Drosophila melanogaster: one gene and its partners. The protein of the gene in region 3 purifies or fractionates together with the protein of the main gene of each other region. This does not show direct contact. Each region holds a gene or a part of one and is shown on either strand. Other genes may lie near its edges.

The links.
Region 1: the proteins of DCTN2-p50 (region 3) and sw purify together in Drosophila melanogaster (affinity purification with western blotting, with the first as the bait; one study listed by BioGRID). This does not show direct contact.
Region 2: the proteins of DCTN2-p50 (region 3) and Lis-1 purify together in Drosophila melanogaster (affinity purification with western blotting, with the first as the bait; one study listed by BioGRID). This does not show direct contact.

Annotation. Positions count from the first base shown.
Region 1 is NC_004354.4:20,232,318-20,239,231, forward strand, and holds the start of sw (short wing), read right to left. Parts: upstream 3,882-6,914; 5' UTR 3,766-3,881; intron 3,634-3,765; exon of another isoform or gene 3,487-3,633; intron 3,430-3,486; 5' UTR 3,347-3,429; coding exon 3,192-3,346; intron 3,118-3,191; coding exon 2,971-3,117; intron 2,586-2,970; coding exon 2,458-2,585; intron 2,074-2,457; coding exon 2,011-2,073; intron 1,127-2,010; coding exon 1,106-1,126; intron 1-1,105. UniProt on the Drosophila melanogaster protein: Acts as one of several non-catalytic accessory components of the cytoplasmic dynein 1 complex that are thought to be involved in linking dynein to cargos and to adapter proteins that regulate dynein function.
Region 2 is NT_033778.4:16,177,003-16,187,135, reverse strand, and holds Lis-1 (Lissencephaly-1), read right to left. Parts: upstream 8,311-10,133; 5' UTR 8,184-8,310; intron 7,804-8,183; exon of another isoform or gene 7,764-7,803; intron 5,888-7,763; exon of another isoform or gene 5,331-5,887; intron 5,156-5,330; 5' UTR 5,084-5,155; coding exon 5,046-5,083; intron 4,979-5,045; coding exon 4,678-4,978; intron 4,620-4,677; coding exon 4,463-4,619; intron 4,400-4,462; coding exon 4,222-4,399; intron 4,154-4,221; coding exon 4,018-4,153; intron 3,951-4,017; coding exon 3,599-3,950; intron 3,534-3,598; coding exon 3,460-3,533; 3' UTR 2,033-3,459; downstream 1-2,032. Other genes in the region: clu (clueless), read right to left, coding at 1-213; CG8441 (uncharacterized protein), read left to right, coding at 1,151-1,324, 1,385-1,972. UniProt on the Drosophila melanogaster protein: Positively regulates the activity of the minus-end directed microtubule motor protein dynein. May enhance dynein-mediated microtubule sliding by targeting dynein to the microtubule plus end.
Region 3 is NT_033778.4:8,888,684-8,894,739, forward strand, and holds DCTN2-p50 (dynactin 2, p50 subunit), read left to right. Parts: upstream 1-3,148; 5' UTR 3,149-3,270; coding exon 3,271-3,306; intron 3,307-3,390; coding exon 3,391-4,312; intron 4,313-4,378; coding exon 4,379-4,563; 3' UTR 4,564-4,656; downstream 4,657-6,056. Other genes in the region: CG8272 (uncharacterized protein), read right to left, coding at 354-1,112, 1,176-2,435, 2,567-2,617; Sec31 (secretory 31), read left to right, coding at 5,262-5,458, 5,521-6,056. UniProt on the Drosophila melanogaster protein: Modulates cytoplasmic dynein binding to an organelle, and plays a role in prometaphase chromosome alignment and spindle organization during mitosis. May play a role in synapse formation during brain development.

The DNA of each region.
Region 1 (6,914 bases), on a different chromosome or scaffold from region 3:
TTAAACAAAATGCATACGGTAAGAAGTGAAAAATGTTGGTTTTTAGTGTGCTCAACACTTGTTGCTTGGCGAAATTATTACACGAATATGTAAAATATGACTAAATAGGGTATATGTATAAGTACTATTAGCACACAAGCCAGGCTCATATGATGGAACACAAAAGGTAGCGAGGGGAGGAGAAAGTGTTTATAATACAACTTAGGATGTTTAGCTAATATATCTGATACGCAATCATACAAACGATATTAAGATAAAGGCTATTCGTGCTTACAAATGAAGATTCTTTTATACGTGTGTATGTTTGGGTTATGCATTTGATTCTTAGACAGTAGCATAGACTTAAAAATACTCTTGGGAAAATAAATCGAATTCAAATATTTAAGTAATAGATCGGTTATGCTAAAAAGTACAAAAAATCTAAATTATACCATTGGTATGCATGTTTTAGAAGAACCCTCAATACTTATAATGGGTCATACATAAATTAAGACAAAAAATTACAAAAAAAAAAATTATGTTAAAACTCAACTTAAAGCGATTACGAAAAGTACTTAAACGAATAAAGAACTTAAAAATTGGGTGGAGATTACAAATTTGTTTTTCATTTTCCATTCAATGAACGATTTTCACACAAGGTCTCTAAGATCTGATACGAACTGATACGAATCTTTTTTCAGGTAGTTATCGAGCTAATTGAAACAAATGTCATATAAATCATATAAAATGTAATAAATATATGTATATAGTCCCAATTGGGATGCAAATCAAAGGACCAAATCGGAAACAAAGATCGAAGAAGCAACTACGAGAAGCTAGGACATAGGGCATATATATATTCTAGGATAGGATTACCATATCAAGCGTACACTAAGCAAGTCAGAAAAACTCTAAGGAGCATAGATCGTGTTGTGGATAGATATTGAGCAAACTACACAAATACATAATGTGAGTATATAGAGAAGTTCAGCATAGAGAGGTTTCAAGGTAATGGTAATATATAGGACTACGGGTATAGATACGCTTCTTACGAGTGGCACACAGACCGCTACGGAGGCTGAAAAGTTCTAAGTACGGAATTACGCATACAACGAGGACTACTCACCATAATAATCCGTAGCATGAGCTGCAGTTTTTTTTTCGTGCGTGCCAAAAACAGTTAAGAGGGAAGAAAGAGAAAGTAAATAGACAAATTATTAAATGCGCTCGAACGGTTTACACTCTAATGATCTATGGGTTCGGATGTGGACATGGATGGATGTGGATGGAAAGATTGATGCTGGACAGCGGTGGCCATGCGGAAATGAGTCGAGACTGCGGCGTTAATGAAGCGAAACAAGGCCAATTGGTGTAATGCTTAGTGCTACCAATAACCTTTACAAAAACGCGACAAAAATTAAAGTAATAATTATAAAAAGGCGTGTTTAAAGAGGGGATAAACATGACACATTGCGTTGCAGTACCATTTACAACCTATATTTTTAAAAGTTCGGATTGAAGTGTTCAGATAGTGTGCTGAATATTGCATAGTATACAAAATAGTGACGAATGGTTTTTGAAATCGTGTCTGAGCTTTTCCAGTTTCGAACATTTATAAAATAAACTAACAAAAACAATTGCTGGGATAGATGGGCTAAATTGAGAGCACTGAAGGAACCAAAAACCAATAATGCGGATTGACCAAATCAAGAGAAATCTGTCATAAGATGATCAATCGACCAGAAACTACGTTTCTTGGGCATTGCAACCAAATTGGGCCGAGGCAAAGCAAAAGGAAGCTGTCTAAATTCAAGCAGTTAAGTAGATAGTCCACCGAATTGTCTACGCATGTACGATGCTGACATCCTTCTGCCTGCAGAGCCTTACAGCAAATTTAGACTAAGTCGTGTGGGCGCTTCACATGGAGCTCTTCGTGTATTCACATGTGTATGCCGCTTCGTTTTGTCACAATAACTTTCGTGTGCTGATGTGTGATTAGGTGTGGAGTTTGCTTAAAATTAAGATTAGTACCTTTACGTGGACGCCACCAGTCCTCCATATATCCTGACAGAGGCGAGGAGTGGCAAGAAAGAACTGTATTTGTTATTTTATTTCACTATGGATTATGGTTTCTGTTTGCATCTTTGTTTTTTTTCTCTGCTGGGAGGGACGGGAGTTGGGGGCACTTGATGGGGAACAAAGCGCGGAAACAGGGTCAGCATGCAGCGGTGTAAGCTAGCACCAGACAGAAAGGGAGAGTTTGGAGCACAGACATGGACAGAGAGAGTGAGAGGGACAGATAGATACACTGCTCCTCCGGCGGACGGTGACGGAGTCTGGGAAACAGCAGGGAAGCCAAACACATTTAACAACGAGACCAAGAATAAGAACGGTAACAGTAGCGAGAGATGGAGTCAAACTATGGATAGTGGTTACGGTAGAGCCCAACCAGATCCCCGCCCCGGGGGCAATACGCACCATCGCCGTTTCCGCCTCCGGTACTGGTCGTCTGGGTCTGCTTTGTGTAGACCAGTGTCTCTTTTGGTGGAATGTTCGTAGCCTGCACATTGTAGACGCTTAGGTTGAGGGGCTGTTTCTTTCCGCCGCTGGTGGGGGGTGCACATAAGAAATTGGTATTAGTTAGGAATCGGTTAAATGGCAATAGCAATAGTACAATACATTGATCGTTAAAACTTAATCAGTACTAAGCCCATTGTCTAATCTGTGTAATACTAATTTTTAAAACGGCTAATGCTAAAATTGAATTGTAAAAATTGCCACGCTCTCTAACCAGGATTCCAATTTTGACTACTGATATTTTTTTATGTTAAGCTTGTAGATGGGGAATCTGTCTCTACAGTTGTTTAGCAAAAAAAACTTAGGGAATCAAATGTCTATACCTATATGACCTGAATATGTCTAATATGCCCTGCGAACTTCTGCTTAAGATGGTAATTCTACTCACAAAGCTTTTGCTATGAACTGGCTTACCTCTGGCCATTGACAGTGGCTTGGAGGCTGGCGTCGGGGGTCTGTGTGTTCGAGTTGTCCGAAGTCATCGAGTTGACGGAGGAGAGTGAGGAAAGGACCTCGGAGACGGGGGCCACGCCCAGCGATGACAGCATTTCGTCGAGATCCCTGAAAGAGGCGAACGAAAGTTGGATGATGGCGGTGCTGAGTCAGCTCTGAGGAGAAGCTTATGGCAAACCCACTTGCGCTGATCCTTGTCGATGCCTGCTCCGCCGCCAATGCGACCGGCCGCCTCCTCCATGTCCTTGATCTCCTTCTCGCGACGCCGGCGATCCTTCTCCTCGCGCAGGGCGGCCAACTTGGCCTTCTTGCGTTCCAGCTCAGCCTTGCGATCCATTTCTCGGGGCGATTAGCTGCTGCGATTTGCTGTTCGAGTGGGCGTTCGGTACGGGACTCTAGATCTCTGGCGGGCCAAGTTCTCTGCAAGGGGGATGCATGATTAATGGTCGCCAATATTGGTAGCTTTGATGATGTCACCAACTGCTGGCCAGAAGCAAAGAAAGTGGGTGCGCTGTGTGGTTCTCCACCGCTCGCTTGGCGTGGCGCAGCCAACTCATATGTTCTCCTATCGCCAAGTGGAGCACATTTCCCGGTAACCCAGTGAGTGGCCGTCACTTTACTTTCCTTTGCTCGGCCAAAAAAAAAAAATCAATAATCCAGCGATTGGACTGTGACGTCTTTTCGCCCTGGCTGCGTTTTTCAACTTCCTTCTCTCACTGCTCTTGTGATTTTTCCATGAAATGCACAAAAACCCACCTCTTGACTGTCTTTACTCGTTGTTCGGCTGCTTTTTAAGTACTTAAATCATCATTTTTCAACAATGTAAAAATGCGACTGACTTTTAATGTTTTGACTAACTAGAGATGGAACATCGCCCACGGCCAGTTACTTCGCACAGTTATTGGCACACGAAGGAGATAATGGGCGCGGCTGGTTTACATAGATGCCCAAAGGGTGTGGAAGACTAGGATTCTTAGCGGGATTCCGAATTCTTAATTAACACAAGTTTAAACACAAGAATAAGATTTTACTACTGTACGGCGATAGCTGTGAACAGCTGTCGTGACAGCGATAGTTCCAGTCTTTCCATGCACTAGCGCAGCGATCTGGCAGCACTACTGCGTTTAGCAGAACGCTGTTAGTTACAGTTACATTTCACATACACTGCAACACACTTTATATTTATTAATATTTATATTTATTTATGGAAGAAATCTACAAATCATGCTTAAATAGAGCTTCAAACTGAATATATATATATATATATATATATATATATTATATTATATATTATTAATTATTAATTATTAATTATTAATATTAATTATAAATATATTAGATTAATATATAATTATATTACCATAATTAATAATAGGTAAAAAGTATGTTAATACAGAGATATGCCGCATTTTAAAATTGTTATGTTATAGGTGGCTTACAGTTATCATAAAAAAGTTTTGCACACTCACACACATGCACTATGAAATATCAGTGTTGCTTTCTGAAGCGTAACTTTTAATTTATAGATTCAAGAGAGGTATCTGTAGGTAAATTCGAATTGATACACAGTACCTTAATGATAATACACTGATGTCCCATATGCATACAAAATTAAATAATCCTTTTAGGTCTAAAATTCAGCTAAAATTAATGCCCACAACCTGTGCATTTGTTTGATTAAAATGCTGAGTGTGAAGTACTACAAAATGTAAAAATTAATTAATTAAGAAAGGTAAGCAAGACTATTCTTGTAAAAAATTACCAATACCGCTGAAATTCCCATAGTGACTCAAAACTACTGAGCTTACAAAATACGTTCAGGGTTCTGAAAGTATGTACATACATACGTATGTACATATGTATGTAGATATGTCGTGTTTTAATTGCCCCTCCAAAGTGCCAATTACATTCAATGCGCGTCTTTGGGCCAGTGAAATCACCAGAACCCGCCGTGGAAATAGAAAGCGCACTTAGGCGATGTGTCTTTCCACAATGTATGCCATAATTTGTGCCACCAATGCCAGATGTTGCTGCAACGCGGGGCGCAAAGCGAATCCAACAGTAGTACGTGCCTTCGGTCGTATCTGAATGTATCCGAAAGTATCTGAAAGTATCTGAAAGATACCGTATCCAAAGTGCCAAGGAAGAGGTTTTCATGGGGTTAAAGCGCCCATGAAACTTTTGGGGATTTTATTTCGATTCGATTTGGCGCATCTGCACATCTGCACATCTGAATTTAAATGCCAGCATTCGACGACCCAAAAACTGTAGTCCGAGTTGCTCGTTTCGTAACCGCATTGATAAACCGGACTCGAACTGGAATCGCTCCGATGATCCCCCATGCTGCAGTAAAAACCTTGAATTGCCAAATCTTCGACTGCTCAACTTTTTGCTCCAGGCCGACAAATCTTGCACATGGGCGGGAGTTGGCAAACCGATGAGCGGATACTTAATATCTTCGCTTTTTCCCCGCGCTAATTGCCAGGCCAAACCTGTCGCACCGAAGTCGAGATGCCAGCGCGATTAGTTTACAAATTAATTTGCCAATTGAATTTCAGATTTAGACGTCTGGCCGGGCTTCCAAGAACCACCTCCACCTGGTTTCCACATGGGATCGGGCGAGAGTAAAAGTGTATTGTTAATTAGCCACTACACGCCGCCAACCTAAACTAGTTTCCCAGCCCGTCTGGTTTGGCCGCATCTCCGATCTCCGATAGCTGATTATATTTTCATTATTTTTTATTTCTTTCCTACTCCGATCGGAGCGGATCGATCGCATCTCCCAAGGACAGCGGCTTTTGGGTCATTGCGTGGCCGCTTAGCATATTTATGCATATATTATGTACATATATTACCGGCATGCTCCGCCGCTTGGCCGCTGGAAGCATCGGGATGACACAGTTTTCCATCCCATGGGCGTAGCTCCTCGGAAATGGCTACACCAAACCAACCCCCCCCCCTCCCCTCCCCCACCAATCACCTGTAGACCAGTTCCCAAGCAGGCAAAACTAGAAATTCTATATTGTATCAGGCATTTCATTGGATTCCTATGGATCACCATGTTTCTAATAGATATACAACATTCAATTTGTAAGATACATTTATTACATTAGTACTTGCTCTTGTTAATTTCATCATATTTTAATATTTCTAAATGATAGTTTATAAAAATGTGCTCTTATTTCAATTATACATATATAATGTATATTATCTTACCTTATTTTACCAAAAGTAATAATGCTAAATTTTTGATTTGCGGGAGTGGCGTTTAAGACATTACCTTCCAACTAATTGGGTGTGTTACTCATTACCAAGTCTTTCATCCGTCCGTCTGCATATATGCAATGTATATATAGTATAATTTAAAGATACAGATCCAGACCGAAACTACGCCCATGGCGTGTCCTCTTCAGCCTTGAAGTCTCAATTTTTGGCTGGCACTTTGGACGAAAGGACGGTCTTCCAACTCCAACTCGTCGCCAAATGGATGGTACCTGTTTGGCTGGCCTTTTGGTCGATCGATGTAAGCCATTTGCATGCGGACCATCAACCCGGCCAACTCAATTCGAGCCAACTGAATTCGGGGATCGTTGACGCATATGAATTTATTTACGTTCATTTTCGTGTGTGTGTGTGTGTTGCTTTTTTGGTCACATCGACACACTGATCGCAGGGAACGCATACCCTACTCGAACCGCATCCATCGGTCGCTCGATCGCATTTGGTTATTTGACGGTCAATACCCGGAAATGTGCAGCTGACCAGATGGCTTACAAGCTGGAATTTTGTATTTTTGCACAGGGTCAACTATTTATTACTCTATATGCCTAAGAACCACCCATTTTTAGCATATAATTTTATTTTTAAGCGAAACAATTGAATTGAAACGCTAATGGAAATCAATT
Region 2 (10,133 bases), 7.3 Mb from region 3:
TTTCTTCTTCGCAGCCGGCCCGTCGGCAGCCGTGCCATTGCCATTGACCAAGTTCTGATTCGAATTCTGCTGATTCGAATTCGGATTCAGGTTCTTTTTGCCGCCGGCCGTGTTGTTGTTCTCCTTGGCCTTGCCGCTGGCCTTTGTTGCTGTTGCTGTTGCATCGCCCGTGGCCGTTGCATTTGAATTCTTCGCCTCCGTTTCAAGCGCCATGCTTTTGTTTCACCTGCTCGCCAAAAACTCAACAAAACCAGCGGAGGAGACACAGAGTTCTAGTTCACGTTTCTTTTTTTTTTGGGCCCGTCCGTCCGTGTTACACAACTCTAACCGCTCGCCGAGCTCGGGGTGATTTCGGTTCGATTTTCAGTGTCTTTCTGGTCGATTGCGAACGTGATTGTTGTTTGGTTAACGATCTCGTACGCATCTATGACAAGTGGGTCTTTGCTAGTTCTGTTCTTTTCAGCACATTACTTATCGAGGATATAAATCGGCCGATTCGCTAGAAAATAACGCGTTATGTTGTTAACGGCTGAGAGTGTGACCACCGGGTGAACATTTAAATATACCGCTGGCATTGGCTTGGTTGCAGTATTTTAATTAGTATTTAGTTATTTGCTGTGTATAATTGCAGATGGACAACAACTAGTGATAGGGATGCACACGCAAAAACGATACCAATATATATGATTGCATTTATTTTAACAACAATTGTGTTCTGTTTAATAAAAGGTAATTTATGCACAATACAAACTTATTTTTATTTAAAACAAATTTTTAAGCCTTTTTATAAAGTGCGTCATATTAGCGTCGTTGAGGAACAGTGAAATTTGTAACATGGGTAGGTTTTTTTTATTTTATTTGAAGGTGAATTTCTATTCAACAATTTTTAAAAATTAATTAATGTAAAGGGCCTGTTTTAAGGATGGGTTGGTTCATAGCTGGACCTACTGTTATGAAATTATCTCAAAAATTGAAATTTTCCTGAAATTCCACCGTTCCGCCATCGCCGCTAACTTATCGACTCTAATTTGACGCATACAATTTTACAGATCAAGCATAGTCCCCGTTAAGTTTTTTTTTTAATTCGGTGTGTATTTTTTACGACTTGTAATACAGCCACACATAAAATACTGTTTTTAACCAAACAAACATGTCGCTTATAAAGAATTTGGTAAAAGAGCCCGAACAGAAGGCAAAGAAAAAGAAAAAGAATGCGGGATCTGGAGAAAGCGATTCCGATGAGAAGGACAAGCCTCTGCGGCCGTTCATCAAAACCGCGACAGATCTACAGAGGCTGAAGCTGGAGAAGCTCATGAAGAATCCGGTATGTGTTTGCATTGGAAAGCTGGGTGGACATTCATATTAATAAACCTTTTATTGCCAGGATAAGCCCGTGGTCATACCGGAGCAGCGTCGCGAACGGGACTTCATGTCCTCGGTGCCCACGTTCGTGCGGAATGTGATGGGAAGCAGTGCTGGAGCGGGTTCCGGCGAGTTCCATGTGTACCGCCACTTGCGACGCAAGGAGTACGCCCGCCAGAAGAACATCCAGAACCAGAGTGCCCGCGAAGCAGCAGATGAAGCTTACCAGCAGAAGTTGGACGACAACAGACGCGCGGCCGAAGAAAAGACTGCTAAGAAACGAGCCAAACGGTTGAAGAGAAAACAGAGGGCGAAAAAGCCGAGAGAGGACAAGAAGCCACTGGCTAAGGAAGCCTCAGAGGATAGTAACACAGATTCCGAGGAAGAGCCCACAGAAGAAAAGGCAGAAAGTAGCCCTGAGGAAGGACAACAGGTGGCATCCAAGGAATCCGACGACAATAACACCCAAGAAACTTCGAATGAAGAGGCAGTGAATTCAAATACAGAAGCGAAAAGCGCAGAGGACACAAATGCAGTGGAATTAGATAGCACCGAAGCTACAAAGGAATCCCAAAATGTGGATCAAGAACAAGACAAGCCTGTGCCTTAGTACCTCCTGTTCTATTCCTATCAATAAACCGTTTAGAGTAATAAAACACAGTGCGGTTTTATTTATAGTACTTTTGTAATATATATATATTAAGCGATTTCTATACATCGCCAGTATCTAGGGGTTTTCATCTGAGGCCATCTTTCTAAAGCAGCTTGGTTGAGAAGAAAGCGTTTTGCGAATTATGCATTGAGTTGTCGTGGCTTTAGTGCGCATTTTGTTTTTTGTTGTCTTACATTTATAAGGTGCATCAAATGTTGCATTTTTGAGTATAATAAATGCTTTCAAAATTTGACATCGCAGGCAATACATTAATTATACCCTTGACAGAAATCCACCATTTTTAGTTCTGGGTATAAACATATTTTTTTCTGGTTTCTTGAAGAAGCAAGTTTTTATTGTTTTCAATAATTAGATTTCTTTGAATCCGAAAAATCGTTTCTTCTAATTGTTGGATTTTTCTGCGTTTTGTTTTTGTTTTCTCAGATACATCTATATGATTTCTCGGTTTTGCACAAATAATTATTTATAGTATATTTATATATAGGTATATTTTTTGCCGTTGCTCTTAAATAAACAATTACAAATAAATTTGCAGCATTTTTCTACTATGTAAACCGTAAAAGTAAATTATATTTTGAACTTAAAGCCAACTTAAATTTGTAAGCATTTTGAAAGGTATTTGTTTTTGTTGAAGATCCTTTCGCGAAAAAGAACACAAAACAGGAATTGTGTAAAGTGAATATGGTTAAAAGAAGCAAACTGTTATCGTTAAAACTACCTCAATTATGATAAAAAGCATGTTGCACTCCTCTCCAAGTAATTCTCATTAACAAACTTCTCTTTGTGAGTACAAGTTTTCTTAGATGTTGAAATACTTCCTTGCTTATATAAATTTTCCAGTGAATTTAGCTATTATTATGCATACATTTTGCAAACACTAAAACACATCAACGTCATTGAATTTTTTTCAAGTGAGTGCGAGTGCTCGGGTACATTTGTGGATGGAAAAACATTTCTGCGCCACATGGTACACATGGTATTAGCCGTCGAATGAAATACAGTTTACCATTGTAAATACGTTCCATTCTCATCGAATTCTACGACAAATTCAAGTTAGGATGCCCGTTTGCTTAGCGAGCCAATGCTGGTTTATAAAGGAGGGCGGCATTAACTTTAAACGATAATCGTATGTATGTATTTTTTGGGCATTTTGTTTATGTACTTTGTATAGTAGGTAGGTAGTTAGTTTAGTTAGAAGGTCGTACAATTAAATAAATAATTCGTTTTCGCCAGTTTCATTCAGTTTTAAAATACAATATGTTCATTTTACGCTGACACAGAAAGCGTCTGGAAAATAAACTTCCGCGGAGGTGGCCGAGACTGCTCGTGTATGGGCGTGTTGTGTGGGTATGTGATTTAATATATTAGCTTTATTTATGTTTAAATTGAGAAGTAAGCAGAACCCTTGCCGATTCTTCCTTAATTTAACGACATTCCCAGACCTTTACTGTTTGATCTACGCTACCGCTAATTACGTACGGATGCGCTTTGTGAAAATCTGCAAGAAAACGGATGACAATTAAAATATATAGTTCATACACACAATGCCTTGTGTGGACCCACCTATGGAGGTGCAGAAATGCTGATGCGCGTATAGCGTCTTCATGCATCGCTTGTTGCGCAAGTCCCACACCCGAATGGTCTTGTCATCGCTGGCCGACACCAAGTATTTGCCACCAGGATGGAATGCCAGGCCACGCACCCAATTGTCATGGCCACTCAGGGTAAGCAGGCACAGGCCGACGCTCACGTCCCAAATGCGAATGGTTTTGTCGCGAGAGCCGGAGGCCAGGAACGGGCCCTGGTGATGGCCCTTCTTGTTGTCTGCTCCGGCTGCCTCGTTTATCGCAGAGGCTGCGGCTTCCGGCGCCCAGGCAATGCACTCCACAGTATGCTCATGATCGCGTAATTCAACCTGCAGAAGAATCAAACCGTCGTTAGACTCTTCATTGCCAGCAGAAGCTGCACATGGCAATGCTCACCTTGCAGTCTTTTGAATTCGTCAACCAAACACGTATTGTCTGATCATTTGAGCATGTGGCAAAGATGCTGCCTTCGATGTGCACTCGCACCATTCGCACCCACTCTCGATGGCCTGTGTAGGTTTTCACACAGTAGCTGAGGATGAGAAGTCACATGTTGGTCATATTATCCCTTAAACGAAATGTCCTTTTTCTTTAACTCACCCTGTGGCCACCTCCCACATTTTAATAGTGCGGTCCCGGGATGCAGAGAGTACATAATCTCCGGCCGGCACAAAGGCCACCGACGAGACATTGTGATCGTGACCATGCATAGTTTTGATACACTCGTAGCTCTGCTGGAAATCCCACAATTTGATGGATAAGTCCGCGCTGCAGGAGGCTGTTGCAATTAAAGCAAAATTAAATTGGTTTTACTATATATTCAACTATGGCAAGATCTTACCCAAAAGCTTGCCCTGGGCATCAAATGCGACATCCTGCACAGAGTCCGTGTGTCCCTTCAGGCTGCGTTCGTACTCGCCAGTTTCGAAGTCCCAAATCCTAATGGTGGCGTCTTCGGATGCGGAAACCATAAGAGCAAAGATGGGGTGGAAAATTACCTGCAATTATAAAATGTAAATGTAAAATGTTTATTAATTTGTTAACTTCTCAACTTACCCTCGTTATGCTGGCACGATGACCGGTCAGGGAGAACTTCTCTGGCGGCCGAGGTATCCACTCGCCAGGCGTCCGTTTGTTCTTTGTGGGCGCCCCCTCGATGACCTCCTTCTCAGCTTCAGTGAGCTTAGCCTCTAGTTCCATCACTTTCTTCTGCAGCCGAATCACGGACGTCCACTTCTTTTCCAACAGTCCGCCAAATTTCTTTTCCACTTCTGTGCTGAGATCGGCCTCCTTGCGGAAGGTCTCCAATGAGTCGGCGTAGCCATTTGAGCCCAGATAATCGGCAATCGCTTGGTTACTGATGGCGATACAATTAAAAGGATTAGTTCATGGGGTAATAGTTATATAAGACGACTGGGACTTACAGCTCCTCGCGCTGCCGCTGCGACAACACCATTTTCATACTGTTTTCCGATTTGGCTTGTTTTGCTTCTCTCGTTCGCAATTCGGTTATCCGCCTTCAACTCTTGCAATTCTGCAATGGAAAAGGTAGACATTCAATATGTGTACAGCAGTTCTTACCACAGTCAGATACAAGATATATTTCCTATATACATATCTTGCAAACCATTTCGTTAGACAGAGTTATGTATAATTTTTGGTTCATCTATCGAACTTCTACTGTATAATCATATGATGATTTGATGTACCTGGGACAGGAAATTGGTTTCGCAAAACCTAAATGCCAAAAATGCCAGCAAGTTTCGTTTGAGTTCTCATGGAGGGCAGGCGAGTCACCCACATTTTCTTGAATTTTTTTGGCAGCAGTATTTCTGTTTCCTATGCTCACCTTTCGTCTAGTCATTATATTGTTTCATTCTCCCAAAGCGGAGCATCATCATTATCATCGTGTCTTTGGTTTCTGGCACACATTTTTGTGTTGCCCGTGCCTCGAATAAGTGGGCAAAAAAAAAATAATAATCGAAACTTTGGCAATGCTTGAAGCGAAGCAGCAGCAGCATTTGGTAACCCCTGCAATCGAACTGCACTCGTCATCGGTGAGTTCAAGGGTCGATTTCACATGGAATTAGGCAGAAATCATATGGGTGCGCTATTTGTTTGTTTAGTGCCCATGTTTTTTTGACTGCAAAACCTTTTTAATCAACTCAAGGTGGCCAAATCATGGGTATAGCACGCAATATAACAACAGCAATCGGAAACAAATAGCTAACGCATATCTCGCGTACTTGATAACGATGGACAACTGACGCGTTGCCAACGAATATACTAGCGAAGGAAAATCCACGACAAGGCAAAGCCAATTAGCCAGACTTAACGGTAGTTCAAGCAACTTCTTATAGGTAAATAAGGCTGCGAAAGAGCGTGCGAGCGAAGAAGCAGAACAAACACGGGCACCAGAGGTGCAATTGATAGCATAAAAACTAATTCAGCTGTTTCTTTTATTTGTGCTAAATAGTTATTGGCTATATGATCATTAAATTAATAGGTGTTATGAAAACATAAACAAGACCTAAATATCTCGAATTCATTACTAATTTCATGGCCCCACCTGTGAGAGACACGCTCACACATCACGGTCTAGGAAATGACGTTTCCAAATTATTTTTGGCCAAATGATATTTAACGATTTTTTTGAACTAGCAAATATGGCAAAAAAAAAAGACAAGCAAAAACTGACCAAACGGGTTCACAGCCGAATCCGATTCGAAACGGCCACTCAATATAGCCGTGAGTCATTCGGCTGGACGCGACTTGAACTACTCCTATAGGGCTTATCAGCTGTATTCGAGCACTTGGCGCTCATCATTTGAATATTGTGGGTGGATGTTTGGCTGCGCTCTAACTGCGCATCTAAATATATCCCAGGAAAATCGATGAAAAGCGTTGCGAGCGTCACGGGTATTAATGGAAAAGTGGAGCGTGGGCAGCAAAGTGGGGTTAAGATAGTGGGGGGTCCCTTAAACCATCGAACGAAGTCAACACTGTTTGTGTTGTGGCAACCAGGCATTCCGAAACACAAAGCCATGCGCATTGTAACCGTAAAGCTGTGGGTGTGTGCCATATGGGGGAATGAAAACAATGGGAAGGGGGCGTTTGGGTCGCACGCCACACCAGAAATGTTACTAAATCAGTAAAAATCATATGGGATTCTCATTGTTGCACTTGCTCAAGTTAATTTAATATTTGAATTTTAAATGGTTTTGGGTGGGCGTGAGAGCGAGATAGTTGGCAAGGGGCATAGACCAGGGCTGCAACGAACACACACACACACACAGTAAGGTCTTGAATTTTAAGGATCTTTCTCTTCCTCTCACTCCCCCTTTCGTTTGAATTCGCTTGCTTATTCTCTCTCTCCCGCTCTGGCAAACAGACCTTGCACTTGCCTTTGCTTGTTTATTTGCGTGTTTCATTGATTAGCACACACTCACACACGCGCCGGCGAGCAAATGCAATTGCAATTTCAAGTGCAAAAAGAGAGAGGAAAAAGGAAAACAATAGCCAAAAAAGCTTTGAACTCCAGCTTTAACCCCACGACGGGCATCGAATGCAGGGACTAACCGTTAAGTGCCGAGACTTTTTGCTTTGCCTTTCTTTAACCCACTGCTGGAAACGTGCAAAAAGCTCGTCACTAGATAATAGAAACAATTTGCAGTGTCAGGAGCGCTTTCCACACATTCTGGGAAATCGCAACGGGTCTTGAATATCTAAAAGAATGCCGCAGCAAAAAAGCCCAAAACGGAAAACTGTAAAAAAAAAACAAAAACAACTACACAAGCACAACGAAGAAAATAAAACGAGATTTCTTGTGCATTGGCAGAACTGGTTTGCCCAGTAATAGGTGTTGTTGGCCTATGGGGGAACGGGAAGTACATATATGCAAGGAATCGGCCAGTTCGGGGACTCGACTTGGCTAAAAATCGATCAATTCTACTTTTGGCGAGGGGGAGGACTCCAAACATGCGCGAAAATCCACAGACATCGTCACTCGCACACACACACACACTCGCGCACGCACACCAACGCACTCGATGTGTCATCGCTTTCTGGTGGTTGTAAATAAAATGTAATCATAGTTCGTTTCTCCACTTATTTACTGATCGTCTTTTTGTTCAACACACTACTTTTTTTGTGCATAATTTGCATAACTCTTTCGCTTGTTTTTTCATTCTCTTTTCAATAACAAACACAATAACAACAACAGTTTGAACGAAAATACTGTTACGACGGCCATCTTGGATAGAGAGAGGGGGCCAAGAGAAAGAAATGTCCCAAAGGCAATATGCATAATGGGGAAAAAGGACAAATATCCAAGCGCACATATAGTATATTATATTTTCCGACTCCAACCGACATGCTTGGTACATAATGCGCGAACTAACACTTTGCCATTGGCAGTTTTGTACATATGACGTTTTTTTTTCTTCATTTCTCCCAATAGCCCATTACACGGGTTGGTTGCGAAAAATCCATTTTGCTTGGGTGTTCTATTTACAACGCGGCGACTCGGTGTTTGTTCTTATTATGCAGCGAACGTTACTTACAACAATTTAGTATTTCATATATTTATAATTACGCTTATTTATTTATGTTTAATCGAAATATACGAAAAGAATTACGCAGAAAAGTGACGAGCGGACGAAAATGCTTCGATTAGTGTGACCGCAGTGGAAGCAGCTCAAAAAACATCACGGGACTATCGATGACAGCGATTAGCTATCGATGTGACTAGGAATGTAGAAAAATGTTAATAAAAATATGTATAATAACTTCTAAATACTTTTTATATCTTATATAAGACCTAAGGACTGAAACCATTGAGTAAAGAACGAGTTGCCATAACTTAAGCCCTACTTCCATGCAAGCGCAGTGTGAACAGCTTAAAAAATTGGCGCGCTATTTAAAATGCTGATAAGGAAATGGACCTTCGTCAGCTTTTTTTTTGCGGAACCACAACGCCTATCCGTGAGTGAACAAAATGGGTTTCCAATTATTTATGCCATATAAGTATTGCTATTTATTTATAACACATCCCAATTCGATAGTCAACACTGCAGTTTGCTAATTGTAAACCGACTTTGTTGTTATCTTACACACACATTCGCGATGGGAGTAAACTTTCCTTATCACCGCTCACACAGCGCCAGAACACAACACAACCGATTTATGGAGTGCTCCCTTTGGCGCTCAGTATTCGAGAATCGCTCAGCGGAAACGGTTATTAGTTTACTGATTTTCGGGCGACACACACACATTCGTTATTCATAGTTGGTGCGCCCAAATATTCGCGAAACAGCAACAACAATTAGCAACCATCTGTCACCTGTGAGTGCAGCGTATCGTACACAATCTCAATCGCTCATTGGGAAAATTGCCGAATAATGTAAATCATTTGCCAAATTTGGGCACTCGTTGTGTGTTATCAGTGTTTGAGATTTAATCAGCCATTTTGTACGCATTACATTATATCGATATAGCCGCTATATCAGCCAATTCTATGGCTCTATAGATATATGTTAAATATGATTCAGTTTAGCAATGCTTGCTAATCCTGCGGTAGCCGATCCTCTTGGCCACATTAGCGTTTAACTGGCGAAATCGAAAGCCATTTATGAGCCAGCACCGTATGGCTGTTATCAGACCGACAACTCTGATGATTATATGCCGATGATAAAGGCCGCTTGTTCGTTTGTAAACGTTAAATTGTTATTATTGGCTTACTTGGTGTTTTGGAAAACCTCGGCGCGCTGCGATTTGTTTAAACAATCGGGCACAGACATTGGCAAATTGTCAACGTTCCATTGCCACACTTTCTGATAACCAAACCCATTAATAATGATCGGAAAGTGTCATTTTTTTTATTTGCTCCAAAGAAGAGCTGTCTTCTTCGCTTGCTTCCGTTGCCGGCAGCGACAACTGAAATTAGTAATTAGTGCTGCCAATTTGAGGGTACGGAATTCTTTCGATTAGCAAGCTCTTCGATGACGCACTCAGCATATCGGCAATATAGTCTATATATCTATATCTATATATCTATTGCTATACCCATTCCATTTGCGACTGCGTGATGGGATTGCAAACAGAGCCGCGATTCGAATTCGAGGATCGTCGTCGGCGATTCTCTGCGATTTTAGCGAATCTGTCGTTAATTTTGTTCGATTATTATTGGGTTGTCCAACAAGCCAGATTACTATCTGTATCTATATCTGCTGGCCACTTCTCCAGCCTGTGAAGTGGCTTGATAAGATTCTAGGGATCCAAAAAATCCAACAAAAAATTCAGAGAATATTGCGACATGACATTGCTGGAGTTTCCAACTTCATTCTCATGAATTTCCGCCGCATTAAAAGGCTTTGGGTGTAAGCCACGACATTGAGATAACCCCCTTTTTATTTTTTTTTTTTGGTATCTCGACCATTTCGTTTATTTTTTTACATTTTCCACTTACGTGTGGTATTTGTGAAATGATCATAAATCGCTCGCTGGAAGTTGTA
Region 3 (6,056 bases):
GTACACTTATCATACGATTCGTACCTTACAAAAAATCACAGTTGAATGCGGACAAACGTTACGTACGAAAATTTAATTGCATTACAATCGAGACTTGTAATTTTGCTAATCTAACGTGCGCGGTTAGTGTAAATTTAAGTGCACATATATGCAAATACATATATGTCTGCATATATATGTATATGTATGTATATTTGACTAAAGCTTTCACAACTATAGCCCAGCTGCTGGGGGCCGATAGATAAAAATAAATATATGTGGGGGGTTGTTCCGACGGCTGGGGCGATTGACTAGCGGAAGTTGTACAGCTGAAAGTAGTACAACATCAAGACAATGAAGATGGCGGCAAAGTATCAGTAATCGAGTCGCTTTTTCAGGCGGAAAAACTCGGCGTTGTCGATGCTCGTCAGATTGTCCATGTTCAGGTTGCGCAACGTCTTCACGCCGGATAGTCGCTCCTCCAAGTCTGTGTACATACTCCGACATCGATAGATTGACAGCGTTTGCAGGCAGCTGCAGTTGGTGATAATGGCGTCCAGCGTGTGCTCCGTCAGCTGGCTGCAACCGCTGATGTGCAGAGCCTTCAGGCGGGGCAACTTAGACGTTACCACCTGGATGGTCTTGTCCGTAATGTTGTAGCAGTCAGATAGGTCGAGCTCCTCAATCGATGGGCAACTGCTGGCCATCGCCTCCATGCCCAGCAGGGAAATCTGCTGGCAATTCGAGAGCATTAGCCGCCTCAGCTCGATGTGCTTCAGCCCATATTTCAGGGATACATCACTGATCTTATTGCAGCCACGCAAGTTTAGCGATCGCAATCCCCGCAACTGCTGAATGTTGTGACCCTCGAAATCATCCTCTCGTATCAGGTTCATTTCGTAGGCGGCCAGCATGGCTTGCTTTCGCCGGGCATCCCGAACAATCTCATCCTCGGCCTTGCTCCTGAGCGATATCTTAATGGACTGCAGGGAACCCGCCAGGCTGTCTCGTTCCGCCAGCGTGTTCGAGTACGGCGGGTAGAAGTTGTCCATCGACGACACCTGCGAACCCGACTGCTTACGACTCATTTCCAGCTTGGATATGTTTATACCTGTGAGGGCTGCATCGGTTAACTATATTTAAATAAAACCAAATTACAAGGCAGAACTTATATTTATCGCGACTTTCAGTCTTACCCCACTGCAGTGCTCTAAAGAGAGCTCGCGCAGCCATCGCAGCTGGCCGATGACCGACTGGATAGCCTCATCGGTGGCTCCATTGACGCAGTGATTCAAGTGCAGTGATCGCAGACATCGTAGGTTACTGGCAATTGCCTTGATGCATTCCTCGCAGATCTGAAGGTATGAAACGTTCAGCTCCTGTATTACCGGATTCTCCTCGCTAGCGATGCCTTCTATGATGCCGCTGCTTGTCAAGTTATCGCAGTTTGAGATGTCCAGACTTTTGAGACACTTTAGCTTGGCCAAGTGGATGGCACCAGCATTTGTAATGCTCAGGCAGCCGTTCACCTTCAAGTGCTCCAGCTGCGGATTAGTTTGTACCAAGGCGGCCAGATTTTCATCGTTAACACACATTGTGGCCGACAAATCGAGGGCACACAACTGGGGCTGTGTGGCTAGAAAGTTCAGGATTGTGGTGCAGTTAAGCTGTCTGCATCCGGCCAAATAGAGGCGCTGCAGTTGGAGATTGAGGTCGCAAAGGGCCAACAAAGCCTGGCCAATTAGGGTGTGGCTAAAGTTCAACACGCGCAACGTACGTCGCTGCAGGTTCAGAATGGTGAGGATGAACTTGAACGTGAGCACAGACTCGCTGGGCAAAACGTGATCCGAGGAGCTGGTGGCAGGGTAAAATCTGCGATGAATAGCATTGTGAAAGGCTATGTGACAGCCGGACATGTTAATCGCTTCCAGACTGGGCATGAACGATGTGAGACGCATAAGAATGGCATCCGTGAGGTATTGGTTCTCGCACAGCGTCAGCTCCTTGATGCCGGCCAGATTGCTTGCCAGGTCGTTTAGGTCAGGACAGGAGTTGTTGTAAGAGTCCAGGAAAGAGCCGGACATGAACAGCGGCAGACAGCGCTTCAGCGACAGCGAGTGGAGATGGGGCAGCACGCCCAGCATGCCGTAGAACTGTTTGTCATTCAAATCCACATTGTCCAGAGCCAGGGACTGAGCGGTCCTGCCCATGAAGCGCATCAATTCCTTTACTTGTCCCAGTGTCACGTCCTCGAACAGGAAGTGCTGGAAACGCCGCTCGCAGCGCATCAGATCCACTCCAGGACTCAATTGATCCGATAGCACCACCTTGGAGAAGCAGACTCGCGTGCGCTGGTTAAATTCCGCCTGATCCAGCGCCGCATGCCATCGCTGGCAGGTGGATCCTGCCGCTTGTAAGTCCGAGTAGCCGAGATAGCTGAAAATCTTCAAAACAATCTGGGGGCGGAACAGAAAAAAACAAAATCAGCTGACTGCCCTAACAGGTATATGAATATGCAGATATAGATACGCTCGAAATGATGGATTGGTCACGGGACCGCGGCAGTCCGTTCACATTATATGCTCACCTCCAGCGGCAGATCATCGTATCTATGCAACCCGTACTCTAAGCCAGACATTACTCTATTGTTTTCGGATGCAAAATATTAAGATTAGTACAACCAACTAGCAGCTCCCACCGCCCACTCGCTTCGCCCGCAAACTACACGAAAACTACAGTGTTGACTAACTTAGTACCTGTGCTAGGTACAGTAGGACCGTGCCTTTTTTCTATCCTCACTGGTCTATAAAATACCAGAAGAAAAGTGTACCTTCATTGATTTACCAATTGGAAGTCGATCATGGAATTATTTACCTATTGCTTATGAATGATTTTAAATGTATATCGTTTTTCCTAAAATCAAAATAGGTTTAAATTAGCACAAAAAGCTTTAATTTATTTTTATAAATGTTTGCATCTATGAATCCAGTTAACAAAGTACAATGTGCAAGTACAATTTATTTATATCGATGATATATTTTGCAATACTATTTACTCTTAGCTTATTAGCCGTTACAAGTAATAACTGTCTTTTTTAAATGACTTTTTAGATACCTCTGTTTATAAATACTCCAATGACAACTGCACTTTGGCATTTGTTTGGTAACCGCGCACGGTAACTTTTTTTATGACATCAGATCGAATTGATTGTTGTAAAAAAGGATTTTTGAAGGTTTATAATTATTTCGTTGCCAAAGGATTCCAAACACCGCCGTCGACGTGCCCACAATAATGGCCGATCCCAAGTTCCAGAACCTACCGGGAATAGTAAGTCGGAACTCCGCACCATGGCAGTGACGTTTAAGCTTTCGTTTTTGCCCATTTATACATATATGTACTTTATGTTTTTAGGCTTATGACCAGCCGGACGTGTACGAAACTCCAGATGACCCGGAGCTCGATACATCCGACTACTACGAAGAGGAGCCGGAGAACGAAGCCATCGAGCGACTGCACATCTCGCCGAGCGTCGCTCACAAGCGCTTCAGCGGAGCAACGGTCGAGGGGAGTGTGGACTTCACGGATCGCATTGGACGACGCATGTGCCGGGGTTACGATACGCGCGGCTCCAGCGACTACGAGCTGGTTGGCCAGGGCGAGAAGGAGACGCCGGTGCAGAAGTGCCAGCGCCTGCAGATCGAGATGAACGAGCTTCTGAACGAGGTGGCCGCCTTGCAGGTGGACCGCAAGGTAGCCGACGAGGAGAAGCAGTCGTACGATGCGGTGGCCACGGTTATCAGCACGGCCCGAAAGGTGCTGGAGTCGCTGAAGCTGGAGCAAGTGCTGGGCAAGGAGCAGACGCCTGGAAGTAAGCAGGTGAAAGCACTCATTAGCCAGGTGGAGGAGTTCAAGCAGTCCGGCGTTCTCACAGCCATACCCACGCCTGGCACCGATCTGGCGGCCACGGCCCGCGTAGCCAGTCTAGAGCAGCGAATCTCGCAGCTGGAGAAGGTGCTGGGCGCTCAGCCGGACAAGTTGAGCCGCCTTACCGCCGCCACCAACACCACCAATGTACTAGAGGCAGTGCGTCATCTAAGCACCAAGGCGGCCCTGATACAGCCTGATAAACTGGACACCATCGAGCAGCGCCTGACCTCGCTGGCCGGCAAGATGGATGCTATCGCCGAAAAGTCCAGCGGCAGTGCCCAGGACGCCAAACGAGATCAGAAGATTACGGAACTATACGACATCGCGAAGCGCACGGAGCCAGTGGTGGAAATACTGCCGCACGTCATCGAACGCATGCAAGCCCTCGAGGCCCTCCATAAATATGGTAAGCAATTCTATTTAGCATTTTAGCATTGTGCTTGTTTCTGTAACTAATCAACTTGCTCTGCAGCAAACAATTTCGCCAAGATCATCGCAGAGATTGAGCAGAAGCAGGGAACCATCACCACTAGCTTGGTGAACAACAAGGAGCTGCTGCATTCCGTACAGGAGACTTTCGCCCAGAATCTGGAGACTATCAACAGCAAGGTGGCCAAGGTGGAGCAGCGTGTGGCGGCCATATCGTCTGCCAAATGAGTGGATGCATACCATGCGTATTAAATAAACATAGCTTATATTTATGAAAGATACCTATAATAAAGAGATCTACATTCGAGTCCAGTTCCAGTCAAAAAATAAATGCAAAGTGATCTGGAATTTAAAATGAGTTCATAATAAATATTAATATTAAAAGTGCTGAAGCTAGTTTACGAATATAAAATGCGATGGAAAATAAATCTTTAAATAATTTCGACTATCATTTTTAATAATGTATACTGATAAAAACTATTTTTAAAATTGCACATTGAAACGGAATATTTAAATTGCATACCGTTAAACTCGCAGTATATTCTGGTCGCACGCATTTGGTATTTCAGTGCGTGCCCTGTGGTATATTACGTTGGCTCAGAGCACGGTCACACTGGCCGTTCCTACGGTTCTTAAAAATATTAACGATTCCAGTTAAATTCAAGATCAAAAAGTCTCGTTGCAGCGCAAGCGAGTACAAATTGCATTCACAATTGTGTGTAAGTTGCGCAATTAGCATAATTAAAGATACTTAAAGGCCGGCGGGCACTACTGGGCCACATCTGCAATGGGGAAGCCAATGGGAAAAGTGATGACGGGGCTTACTCCAATTGGACGTGACACAATTTCGTTCTGAACTTGTACCTCCCATAATATTTGTGTTTTTTCGCTTTATTTACACGAGCAGCACGAAGGGACATTGCAAGATGAAGATCAAGGAACTGCAAAAGACGGTGAACATCGCCTGGTCGCCGGCGCAGCAGCAGCAGATTCTCTTGGCCGCCGGCACCGCCGCCCAACAATTCGATTCCAATGCCAATTCCACTCTGGAGTTGTACTCACCGAACTTCAGCGATGCCACATACGATCTGGAGCTGAGGGCCAGCGTTTCCAGCCAGTACAAGTGAGTTATGGCTTTCAATTTGTGCATCAAGTCGTTCACATAACCGGCTTTTCCTCCCGCAGGTTCCAAAAACTCATCTGGTCCCCAGTGGGACCACACCCCAGTGGCCTGATTGTGGGCGGCTGCGAGGCGGGGCAGATCAACATATACTCAGCCGACAAGCTGCTTGCAGGCAAGGAGGAGCCGCTTCTGAAGCGCCAGGACAAGCACACAGGCGCCGTTAGCGGGTTGGACTTCAATCCCTTCCAGAACAACCTGCTGGCCTCATGCGCCTCCGAATCGGAAATCCTAATCTGGGACCTCAACAACCCGGAAACAAGCATGAGTCCCGGCACCAAGACACAACCACTGGAGGACGTAAAGAACGTAGCATGGAACAGGCAGGTGCAGCACATTCTAGCCTCCGTGTTCAGCACACGCTGCGTGATTTGGGATCTGCGTAAGAGTCAGCAGATCATCAAGCTCTCCGACTCGCAGTCGCGAGTGAGGTGGCACGCTATTGAGTGGCATCCGGAGGCGGCGACGCAGGTGTGGCTGGCTTCCGAGGACGACCAGGCGCCAGTGGTGCAGCTGTGGGATCTGCGATATGCCACGGCTC